Macaca fascicularis: one gene and its partners. The protein of the gene in region 1 purifies or fractionates together with the protein of each later gene. This does not show direct contact. Links are inferred from orthologs where the notes say so. Each region holds a gene or a part of one and is shown in the gene's direction. Other genes may lie near its edges.

Evidence for each region.
Region 2: the proteins of PPP1R12A (region 1) and PPP1CB purify together in Homo sapiens (affinity purification with mass spectrometry; 6 studies listed by BioGRID and IntAct, with this or other methods). This does not show direct contact. The link is inferred for Macaca fascicularis from reciprocal best matches to the Homo sapiens genes PPP1R12A and PPP1CB.
Region 3: the proteins of PPP1R12A (region 1) and RHOA fractionate together in Homo sapiens (co-fractionation; 3 studies listed by BioGRID and IntAct, with this or other methods). This does not show direct contact. The link is inferred for Macaca fascicularis from reciprocal best matches to the Homo sapiens genes PPP1R12A and RHOA.

The regions. Positions count from the first base shown.
Region 1 is NC_088385.1:86,746,210-86,750,573, reverse strand, and holds the start of PPP1R12A (protein phosphatase 1 regulatory subunit 12A), read left to right. Parts: upstream 1-1,512; 5' UTR 1,513-1,528; coding exon 1,529-1,765; intron 1,766-4,364. UniProt on the Homo sapiens protein: Key regulator of protein phosphatase 1C (PPP1C). Mediates binding to myosin. As part of the PPP1C complex, involved in dephosphorylation of PLK1. Capable of inhibiting HIF1AN-dependent suppression of HIF1A activity.
Region 2 is NC_088387.1:93,467,744-93,471,900, reverse strand, and holds the start of PPP1CB (serine/threonine-protein phosphatase PP1-beta catalytic subunit), read left to right. Parts: upstream 1-1,326; 5' UTR 1,327-1,367; exon of another isoform or gene 1,368-1,404; intron 1,405-1,413; exon of another isoform or gene 1,414-1,621; 5' UTR 1,622-1,708; coding exon 1,709-1,760; intron 1,761-4,157. UniProt on the Homo sapiens protein: Protein phosphatase that associates with over 200 regulatory proteins to form highly specific holoenzymes which dephosphorylate hundreds of biological targets.
Region 3 is NC_088376.1:112,372,661-112,376,234, reverse strand, and holds part of RHOA (transforming protein RhoA), read left to right. Parts: intron 1-127; exon of another isoform or gene 128-219; intron 220-2,943; 5' UTR 2,944-2,945; coding exon 2,946-3,101; intron 3,102-3,574. UniProt on the Homo sapiens protein: Small GTPase which cycles between an active GTP-bound and an inactive GDP-bound state.

The DNA.
Region 1 (4,364 bases):
GCTGACAGTAAGAAAAGCTTATTTGTTCACTGCTCCATCTCCAGCACCCAAAACAATGCCTTACCCAGAACAGGTGCATAGTATTTGCTGAGTGAATTCTAATCCTACTTCTGGGTAAAATTAAGTAAATTATCTAGTTCTTGAGGGACTCAATCTAGACGACCCCTAATCTTCCATGGTAAGGTTTTGTGGTTTTTGACTTTTCTAAATGCTCTAAAAATAGTAGTGGATAATAACGATATAGTGTTCAGTAAAATCAATTGGTGGAGATTGTAGATAGATGGCTCATAAGACATCAGTATTACAAATCCTATGTGTGTGCGCGTGTGGTCATACAAGGCAAAGTTAAAGTCTTTTTTTATGAAGATGATAAATTACAGTCTTGTTTGGGCAAGTGAACTCAAGAGGTGGTTCAAATAAATGTCATATTTTTCATTGTATATTCAGTGCCTAGTACAGTTACTGGCTCATAGTAGGTATTCAAAAAATAGTGGTTGAATTAATAGCCTTCATTAACATTCCGTTTAAATACTAGACGCAGCTAGGTCTCTAACCCTCCTTAGAAAGAGATGGAGCTGTAACCAGAAATCCCTTAAAAGGTAAGGACCAGTAATCAGGCTGAGCTAAGCTCCTCATGGGTCCTACGAAACAGGCTTAAAGCACTGAAGGAAGAGAACTCAAGCGTGAGAGAAAGCAAAACAAAAGTAAAGAGAAGAGGAAAAACATTTCTAAAGTGGGGGTTGGCAGGAAGCCACCGCAATTACCGCAGGTCAACCCTGGCCAATAGGTGGTCACCTCAAGAACTTACCATTAAAACCCTCGGCTACACAGACCTCACTTTTAAAAGGTTAATTCTGACATGCCCAAGTTCATCTGAGTTCCTTAGAGCAACCACCAGCACCTACTTCACGACCTATCCTCCATTCCATTCAAATAACGCAGCCAATAGGAAAATCCTCCGCCTTGAGCCAACGACTCGGCGTAGCTGAAACAGGCCGGGAGGCAGATCTGCCCTGTAGACCCTTGCAGTTCCACTGCTGGCCTCCGGATTACCGGGAGCCCCCAGCCCGGCAGGACAACCTTCCTTCCCCGCTTCCTCCTTTCCAGGTCTGTCCCAGCCCCCGCTGCCTGGGCCACACCCGCTTCCCTCCGGTGGCCCAGCCACCCCCGCCGCAGTTCGCGGGAGCGCCTTTCCTGGGGCGGGCGCAGGCCCAGGGCGCATGCGCACTGGTCGAAGGGCACCTCCCAGTCCGGATCTCGCGAAGTTACGTTAGATTGGCCGCCGGTGACGGGTGGCCGTGCTGGGGGCGGGAGGGCTTCTGTTGTAGGAAGGGAGGTCCGCTCGGCCGGGCGCGCCGCCCCAGTGCTCTGTGGGATACTGGAAGTCTCGAGCGTCTCCTCCCGGTTCCCAGCCTTCCTCTGGCCCTCACTCATAGAAACATTCACACACCCCCTGCCTCCCCTCTCTTCCCTCTCCGCCTCCCCCTTCCACCCCTCGCGATAAGAAGACCCGGCGGCAGGAGAGGGGATGAAGATGGCGGACGCGAAGCAGAAGCGGAACGAGCAGCTGAAGCGCTGGATCGGCTCCGAGACGGACCTCGAGCCTCCGGTGGTGAAGCGCCAGAAGACCAAGGTGAAGTTCGACGATGGCGCCGTCTTCCTGGCTGCTTGCTCCAGCGGGGACACGGACGAGGTCCTCAAGCTGCTGCACCGCGGCGCCGACATCAATTACGCCAATGTGGACGGACTCACTGCCCTGCACCAGGTCTGTGCGCCCAGTCGCCGGCTCTCCTGACCCTGAGGGTCCTCGTCGGCCTCCCGCCGGGGCCTGCCCTCAGTTCTCCACCTCTTGAGGCTGGGGGCGGCGGGAGACTGCTGCGGGGTGAGGGGGCGGTTTCCCGAGAGGGCGGGAGGGAGAGCTGGTGGAGGGGAGGGCGCTGGGCTTGAGGCCCCCTTCAGAACAGTTGCTGGTGAAGTTGGGAACCGGGTGATTTCCGGGGCACAGGGGAAAAGGAACTGTGGTCGTCTTGGGGCCCCAGGGCCATTGGTGCGATGAGTCTGGGATTTGGGGTCGAGACAAGGAGGGGTGTAGTGGGGTTGTGCCTGGGCCCCCGTGTCAGTGATAAATTCGGAGGGGTGGATGCTGAAGGAAGAAAACTAACAAGAGGCATTAGGGACGCTTAGGCAGATGAACATCTTTGACTTGTAGGTAGGCATTGGATTTGTTGCACTTTTGAGGACTTGATTACAAATGATGATGATAATAGTAATCTAGAGCCCTAAGCCGAGTGCCCTGAGCGAACGATTTCCTGTTTTCTCATTTATTACTCTTGGTCACTGGGGAGGGGAAAACAGGGTGTAATTAGCTGATCTGCACCGGCTGAAAGGAAGGGGATGGAAATGGGTAGAGTAAGGAAGCCCTCTAAAGGGTTTGCCCACCTCCGGACCGGAACGTGTTGAGTCTGATACTCGAAGTTTGCCGCAATGTCAGAGATCTTGAGCCCCAGGTCCTGGGGTGTGCACTGGTGTTAGAAAGAGAAGAATAAATAGGGGACACTCTTTTCAAAGCTGGTTACCAAGCTCTGATTTTTCTTTTGGGGGTGGGAAGAAAAAAAGACTGGTCACAAACTTTTCTCAAAATGGATGCTTTGTGCATGTTAAAGTTTTATAGTAGTCTGATTGGGATCTCTCAATGTTAGCCAAATAAGGAGAAACTATTGGCAATCCAGAGATAATGTTGCCTTGCCTTTAACAGGCCAAAAGCAACACAACCATGTAGAGTTCTGCATAAAAAGCAATTTTTAAGTGATGGTAATAGGTGACAAGACATAGGCTTTTTCGATTTTCTTGGCGGGCAACTTGGAATAACTATAATAGAAAATGACTTTGCAGCAATAGCTTTCCCTTACAATGAAAAGACTTGTAAGCTATCTCAAAGTTGCCTTGGTTGTATGTGGAAGATGCATAGCCTTATTTCGAGTAATGCTGTAGTAAAAACTTGTTTGGGAGGTTGAAAACTCAAGGCTTTATTATATTTCATGAATATTAACTTGATGCCTTTTTAAAAGAGGTGTGTAGTGACATTTTTCCTTGTATTGCTTACTGTTTAAGGGAGTGATGACCATTTTAAATTTTATGTAATGGAATTCTCGTATCAGACCTGGAGTATAGCCTTTGTTTACAAAGTTGACTGGATACATTGAAATTATTGACAAATTGCAGGACAAATATGGAATTAAAAATGTGGCACCCAGTAAAAATATAACAGGGTATCTAGCGTTTTTTCTATTTCATTAATTTAGATTCTCTAATGCATAGCAAACTTTTTATTTGGGTGAAGTTTATTTAAGGCATATCATAACTCTTAAGATTTTAAAACCATGGTGTTGAGAATGAAAGAAACTTTTGGCATTAAAAATGATAATGTAATTATGTAAGATGAATCTTCAAATTTCTTTCAAGTGTACTTCACACGTTTTAGTGTTTTAGTGTGAAATAGATTTTGATTATTACTGTAGGAGGTCAAGATAATTGGATAATTGTTCGCATCAATATGTTTTATTCAAATCGTCAAATAGAAATTTAAAGTTACTATTGTTGTGGAGGAACCCAATTGTATTGGCCTGGAGGAAGACGAAAATTTTTGATATTTACATTGTTGTAATACTGGTTTAGGGAGGAAGAGAAAATACATTTAACTGTCTTCTTAAGATCTTTTTTCCTCCTCTCAATATTCACATGTTGCAAGAATTGTCAGACTTACCAATGTCTTCCTGATTAACTGAATTCAGTGGTCAGTTTGGTGTTGTGTAGCTGTATCTTTATTGGGTATTTTGTTTTAGTTGACAAACACTTAAACAGAAGTTTCTAAATTTACACCATTTGCATAATACCTTTCTGTCACTTTTTGTCACTATGAGTGTTTGACCCGATAATTTCCAACCGCCTCCCCTTTTCCATAACATTTTTCCTTATCTGCAAATTCCTTAAATCAATGAAGCCAAAATCTTTAAAATATCAAGCATTAAAATTTTTGTTATGTTTTCTTCACTCTCATTTCTTATTTATCAACTCTTGTACTTTTTTCCCATTGTTACTATGAAAATAGGGAGTTCACTTTGGGCAAATTTAGGACAACAGCTAGTGAAAGACAGTAAATAAACACACACACAAGAAAATTTTAAACTTTTAAGAAAAATCTCTAAACTAAGCTTGTTTTCCATGCTTAATTCGAAATACTAAAATCACTGATTTAATAGTCCTTGAATCGTTTTTTAAAAATTTAACCTCAAAAGATCATAGAATACCTAAAATGTTTTACTGGGTTAATTATTGTTTATTCTTTTTTGAATATTTATTTACTT
Region 2 (4,157 bases), on another chromosome or scaffold:
CTATGTCATCTGGACATTGGAAAGCACTTGGTTGGACAAAGCTGCTTCTCCCCCACAGCACATGCCTGTTTCAGCATCTCAGCCCACATTCACGGAGAGGGAGAATATCGCAATTGTTAAGAATGCAGACTCTAGCACTACATGCCTGGGTTTGAATCCCAGCTCTGCTGCTTATTTGTGTGATTTGGGCTAGGTTTTTTAACCATCTGTGCCTCGGTAAATCCCATCTACAAAGCAGAGATAATAATAGTACCTACCTCACAGGGCTGTTATAAGGATTAAATGAGGTAACGCGGGTGTAACATTTAAAACAGTGGCACAGCACATAACAGGGATATGAACAAATGTTAGCTACTATTAGTGATATGTGAGTGGGGGAAGTACTGCCTTGGACTTGGGGCAATATCAGATCTGAGTTTCTGGAAAAACACCTGTGGAATAAGTAAGGGTTGGCCACCTCCTAAAACAGGACAAAAGATCTGGCTTGCCTAGATCCTTAGCGTGACTGCCTCTCCTCCTGCCTTTCTAGAAGCAGTATTACGTGATGGAAATATTTGGTGGGTGCTGTGGGCACAAAGATAAGTTAGTGTGTTTTTATCCCCTAGGAGCTGAGTCGAGAGTGGGAGAAAAATGCATAAATAATTACCAGGTAGGATGATTAAGCAATATACTGGAAGCAGCAACAGAAACACACTGTGGAAAAAAAGATACCCACGGCGTGGATGGAGATACAAGATGTGTGAAAGCGCTAAACACAGGCAGCCATATGCACCCATGTAAAATTGTATTATTGCTGACTCCTACAGGGCCCACTTTAACTCTTCTTTCAAACAGAATCCCTGCGGAACTAATTTTGTAGAACCACTGGGGGTAAAGACCTTTATTTGCAATGTCGAACTCCAGCAGAGTTAACCCCTTCTTGCTTTTCACAAGCGCAAACCCGGGTTCCAAACGCTGCAGTTCGCGTTTCCCGGCTAGGAAGAAACACGAGGAACTGCTTGCAGATCTAAGGTATGAAGCCATGAAAAGGAAAGCGAGGCCAAAAGGGTGCAACCACCACGTCTGGAAAGCGCCAGTGAAGCAGAGGAGGAGGAAGGTGAGCCCTGCCCCAGCCCGCTCTGCGTAACCGGGGCTTCCTCCGAGCGGCAAAGCCGGGCACCTCCTTGGCGCCTGCGCCGCGGCGGCGAAACTCGGCGCCGTGGACGTAGAGAGAGAGGGCGACGCACCTGCGCGAAGACGGCGGCGGCAGAAGCCGCTCCAGTGCGGCTGCGCGGAGGCCCAGGCGTCGAGGGGAACCTCGGCGGGGAGCGCGCCGGGCGCCTGCGCGGAGAGCTGCGTGACGCGGTGGCGCGCAAGGGACGTGCGGAGTGAGTGGCGCTGCGGGTGGGGCCGTCGGCGGCGCTGGTGAGCTTTGCGGAGCTGGGCGGTGCCGAGGACGAGGAGGTGGCGGCCTTGGTCTGACGCGGCCCTGTTTGTGGGGGCCCCTCTTGTTTATTTATTTATTTTCCGTGGGTGCCTCCGAGTGTGCGCGCGCTCTCGCTACCCAGCGGGGAGGGGGTGGGGGGAGGGCCCGGGAAAAGGGGGAGTTGGAGCCGGGGTCGAAACGCCGCGTGACTTGTAGGTGAGAGAACGCCGAGCCGTCGCCGCAGCCTCCGCCGCCGAGAAGCCCTTGTTCCCGCTGCTGGGAAGGAGAGTCTGTGCCGACAAGATGGCGGACGGGGAGCTGAACGTGGACAGCCTCATCACCCGGCTGCTGGAGGGTGAGTGCGCGCCGGGCCGTGGGACGGAGGGAGGTCGGGCGCCGCCGCCGACCCCTGCGTCCACCTCCGCCGCCGAAACGCGAGGGGACCTCTTTCCCGCCCCGAGGCTGTCTCTGGGAGCGCGGCGCGGCAGACCAGCCGAGGAGGGGGCGAGGAGGCTGCTGGGCGCCGGGGAGCGGCCTCCGGGAGCGCGGTCAGGGGAAATCGGGGGAGAGGGGGCCGTCCCCGCGGACCCTTGGTGGCCAGGCCCGCCGGCCGGCAGCTGTGCGGAGCGGGTCTGCGGGAGACAGCCTTTCGGAAAGGCCGCCGGGCTCCGCGCGCCGTCGTGCTCGCCTCCGGTGACTCCTCCGAGGAGGGGGAGAGGATGCCTGCCACCGGGCTTTGTGTGTCCGTGGAATCAGTGTTTCTTCTCTCTTTGTGCATTGCCCTTGGCTGCCTCCGATTGTCGTTCCGCGAGTGAATTTTATGTATATATATAAAAACCTGTCCGTAACAGGAATGCTTCGTCTGCTCTGCATTTTTACACGATGCCATAGAATGGATTCTTCTTAGAGAGGATAAAATTAGCGGGAATTTATCTACCATTTGTTATTCGGCCTAAAAAAATTGTAAGACAAAATATTTGATCAGGTTGAAGATGCACGTAAGAAATGTGATGTATGTAGATGTTGGCTTTTGCGTTTGATTTGAGCAGAGCTTAATTTCTGCACAACTTAGTGAAGATCTATTTTTAAAGCCTGTCTTGTGTTCGAAAGGTATTTGCAAGTCTACGCAGCATTTGAACTTTCCGGGCCCTGGTGTTCTTATCGAATAGTTTTATGTTGGTGGGAAGGCAAGGGGGGGGAAAGCCAGGAGTTAAATGTATTGATTCATTGCAGGATATTATTCAAAGTTAAATGCCAAACAGTCCTTCTACCCTAAAATGTTCGTCATCACTAATTGTTTTGTGAGTGTGTAGAAAAGCCATTAATCCCTTTTAAACAATTTAGAGGCCTCTTTGTTAGCCGCCATCGAAGGATTGCATATGTACTGTTTGCTTTCAAATTACCTTAAGATAATTGTTTGCTACAGTAAAGCAACATGTACTTATATTTGGAAAATCATCAAAGAATATTTTAATGGGGGAGGGGTAACTCGTTTTTTTCAACGAATGTGTCGGTATCTAAAACCCAAGTTCTGTGTGTAGCCGTTCTGTAACTAAATACTGTATATTTGCTCCAGAAGTGAAAGCCATCCAGCAGTCTTAAGACTGAATAGGAAGCAAAAGTTTTACCAGGAACTCTTATTTACCTTTTCCTTTACTATCAAGTTATTCCTGGGAGGCCCCCTGGTGCCTGCAGTCAGTGTTCACTACCTAAGACTTTGTTTCAGATGTGAACGTCTTGCTGGGTATTTGAGAAATTTGCTTTGAAGAAAAATTGTATTTTGTAACTGTTCTATGAGAGAAATACAGTTAATTTAAAAATGTATATGTCTTGTTTACATTTGGGAAAGTAGAGGCCTACTCTCCCCCCCCCTCCCCCCACGGAGTCTCACTGTGTCTCCCAGGCTGGAGTGCAATGGCACGGTCTCGGCTCACTGCAACCTCCGCCTCCCGGGTTTGAGCGATTCTTCCGCCTCAGCCTCCCGAGTAGCTGGGATTACAGGCACTCCGCCATCATGCCCGGCTAATTTTTTTTTTGTATTTTTGTAGAGACGGAGGTTTCACCATCTTGGCCAGGCTGGTCTTGAACTCTTGACCTCGTGATCCACCCGCCTCAGCCTCCCAAAGTGCTGGGATTACCGGCGTGAGCCATCGCGCCGGACCCAATTTTATATATTTTAAACTTTGCTTGTAAATTTAAATATTTTAAAAATATGTTTGTATCTCAACTTTATATTTTATTTCATTTTCCATCTATTTTATAGGCATAAAACAGATTTATGTTTTAAAATGTTTGTATCCTTTTAAATTAGATGCACCTTTTTATGATTACAGGTACTTAAACTTCACGAGTGGGTTGTGCAAGGTTACTGGAAAAGACATTGGGGGAAAAATAGTCTAAGTGATTCAATTTGTTTTTGTGAATTCAAATTAAGTATTTGGTTTTGTACAATCTTTTTTCCTTTTTGGGGGGCGGGGGTAAGAATTGTAGTCCAGACACATTTCTCTCAATTTAGCAAGCGTTAACATGTTGACCTCCTCCTTGCCAGGCACCAGCAATCCTAAAACAAGACACAGTCTCTTCACTCAAGGAGCTCCGAGTCTAAACAAGTGGCTTTCAGGCTTTTTCAGCCTTCTCTCTGTCCTGTGTTCAGCACACATTCTATCAGTAGATTTCAGTACTTCTTCATCCTACAGAAGCATATTTAGTTTGACAGTGCTACCCAGGGATTCTTAAATATTCTGGGTTTTTC
Region 3 (3,574 bases), on another chromosome or scaffold:
TATATACCTAGGAATAGAATTGCAGGGTCATACCTACTCACATCCTTTGAATTGGATTAGATTGTCTTTTTATTATTGAATTGTAAAAGTTCTTTATTTTTTAATTTTTTCTATATACTGTATTTAGGCCTGGTGAAGTGGCTTATGCTTGTAATCCCAGCACTTTGGGAGGCTGAATCGGGAGGACTGCATGAGCCCAGGAGTTTGAGACCAGCCTGGGTAATATAGTGAAACCCCATCGGTATAAAAATCAGTCACCCGTGGTGGCAGGAGCCTGGTAGTCCCTACTACTTGGGAGGTTGAGGTGGGAGGATCACTTGAGTTGAGCCTGAGAGGCAGAGGCTGCAGTGAGCCAATATTGCACCACTGCTTTCCAGCCTTGGTGACAGAATGAAACCCTTTCTCAAAATAACTATGTAATAGATAAATACATAGATAGGTTAGATAGATACATAGATTGGATAGATGCATAGATAGATGGGCAGTGGCTCATGCCTACAATCCCTCAGCACTGTGAGAGGCCGAGGCGAGTAGATCACTTGAGCTCAGGAGCTGGAGACCAGCCTGGTCAACATGGCGAAATCCCGTCTCTGCCAAAAATACAAAATTAGCTGAGCATGGTGGCGCATGCCTGTGGTCCTGGTCCTGGGGAATCTGAGGTGGGAGGATCACTTGAGCCTCTGAGGCAGAGGTTGCATTGAGCTGAGATCACACCACTGCATTCCATCCAGCCTGGGTGACAGAGTGAGACCTCATCTCAGGAAAAAAAAAAAAAAAAGATAGATGGATAGATAAATAGCATGCTGTACTTCATGCTGGAAAGAGTTTGTTTTTTTTTTGTTGTTTGTTTGTTTGTTTTTTAGACACAGTTTCACTCTGTTGCACAGACTGGAGTACAGTGGTGCAATCTGGGCTCACTGCAATCTCTGCCTCCCAGGTTCAAGCAATTCTTCTGCCTCAGTCTCTCAAGTAACTGGGATTACAAGTGTCCGCCACCACACCCCGCTAAGTTTTGCATTTTTTGTAGAAACAGGGTTTTGCTGGGTTGGTCAGGCTGGTCTCGGACCCCTGACTTCAAGTGTTCTGCTCACCTCAGCCTCCCAAAGTACTGGGATTACAGGCATAAGCTACCGTGCCCAGCCCAAAAAGAATTCTTTATGACTTCGACCTTGCAAGAGATCTTGAGCCAGACCACCAACCTAAGCTACTTTTTTGTAGTTGAGTCGTAAGAGTTTGAGATACAAGGTTTACTCTGTCACTCCAGGCTGGAGTGCAGTGGTGCAATCGTAGCTCACAGCATCTTCCACCTCCTGGGCTCAAGCAATCCTCCCACCTCAGCCTCTTTGGTAGCTGGGACCAGAGGTGCATGCTACCATACCTGGCTGATTTTTTTTTTTTCTTTTCTTTCTTTTTTTAGAGACCATGTCTCAACTGTGGTTCCCCAGGCTGGAATGTAGTGATGCAATCTCAGCTCACTGCAGCCTCCATCTCCTGGACTCAGGTGATTATCCCACCTGAGCCTCCCAAGTAGCTGTGATTAGCGTGCACCACCGCTCCTGGCTAATCTTTTTGTATTTTTGGTAGAGACAGGGTTTCACTATGTTTCTCAGACTGGTCTTGAACTCCTGGATTCTCAAGCACTCCACCTGTAATCCCAGCCTCCCAGAGTGCTGGGATTACAGGTGTGAGCCACTGCGCCCGGCCCTTTTGTTTCTTTTCTTTCTCCCCTCCCCTCTCATGCTTCTGTCCTTCCTTTCTCAGTATCTCACTACGTTGCCAGGGCTGGTCCCTAACTCCTGGGCCTGAGCATTCCTCCTGCTTCAGCCTCCCAAAGTGTTGGGATTACAGACATGAACCACTGTGTTCGGCATCGATTTTTTTTTTTTTTTTTTTTTTGAGATGGAGTTTCACTCTTGTTGTCCAGGCTGGAGTGCAATGGCGTGATCTCGGCTCACCACAACCTCCGCCTACCAGGTTCAAGCGATTCTTCTGCCTTGTGCTCCCAAGTAGTTGGCATTACAGGCACGCACCACCACGCCCGGCTAAGTTTGTATTTTTAGTTGAGACGGGGTTTCTCCATGTTGGTCATGCTGGTCTCAAACTCCCGACCTCAGGTGATCTGCCCACCTCAGCCTCCCACAGTGCTGGGATTACAGGCGTGAGCCACTGTGCCTGGCTCAATTGATTTTTTCAGTGTTAATATTGTATCCTGCAACCTTACTGAACTTGTTTATTCTAAAAGTTTTCTTTAGGATTTCCCACATTACAAAATCATCTCGTGTATGAATTGAGATAGTTTTACTTCTTCCTTTCCAATTTGGATGTCTTTTATTTCATTTTCTTATCTTATTGCCCTGGCTAGGACCTCCAATATCGTGCTGGATAGAAGTGGCAAAAACAAGCCAGGCGGGGTGGCTCATGCCTGTAATCCCAGCGCTTTGGGAGGCTGAAGCAGGTGGATCGCCTGAGGTCAGGACTAGCCTGGCCAACAAGGTGAAACCCCGTCTCTACCAAAAATTCAAAAATTAGCTGCATGTGGTGGTGCATGCCTATAATCCCAGCTACTTGGGAGGCTGAGGCAGGAGAATCACTTGAACCCGGGAGGCTGGAGGTTACAGTGAGCCAAGATTGGGCCAGTGCACTCCAGGTTGGGCGACAGAGTGAGATTGCATCTAAAAAGAAGTAGCAAGAACATACATTATTTTCTTGTTTCTGATCTTAGGAGGCAGACTTTTTTCAGTGTTTTACCATTAAGTATAAAGTTAGTTACGAGTTTTTGATGTATAACCTTTTGGTGCCAGGTGGAATCAGTGTACTAGAAGTTTGAATTTGAGTATGCTAATACAGGCTTATGCCCTGTGGTTACCAAAGCATGTGTCATAGCCTGTAAGCTACCTATGGCTTCTTGTGCATTGCAGGTAACATCTGTGTTTTGTGTTTCAGCAATGGCTGCCATCCGGAAGAAACTAGTGATTGTTGGTGACGGAGCCTGTGGAAAGACATGCTTGCTCATAGTCTTCAGCAAGGACCAGTTCCCAGAGGTGTATGTGCCCACAGTGTTTGAGAACTATGTGGCAGATATCGAGGTGGATGGAAAACAGGTGAGTATACTTTTCATAACAACTGATGCCTGATGCCATTTTCCACGTTAGAATATTTATGAAGCATGTAGAGAATTAGAGCTTTTTGCCTCTTCAGTATACTATATAACAAAAATGTTGAAAAGAATAATCCATTCTCATCCTGCCATCTTAGTCCAAATTTGTTCTTTTTTTCCTTTTTTTTTTTTTTTTTGAGATGGAGTCTCATTCTCCATCTCAAAAAAAAAAAAAGATGCAATTTCTCCATGTTGGCCAGGCTGGTCTCAAACTCCTGACCTCAGGTGATCCACACGCCTCAGCCTCCCAAAGTGCTGGGATTACAGGCATGAGCCACCTTGCCCAGCCATATGTGCTGTTTTCAAGTTTACATATATTTGAAGTTCAGTTCATTGCCATATAGATAATGCTCAGATGAACCTCTTTGTATGGTTGGACTTTTTTTTTTTTTTTTTTTTTGAGACGGAGTCTCGCTC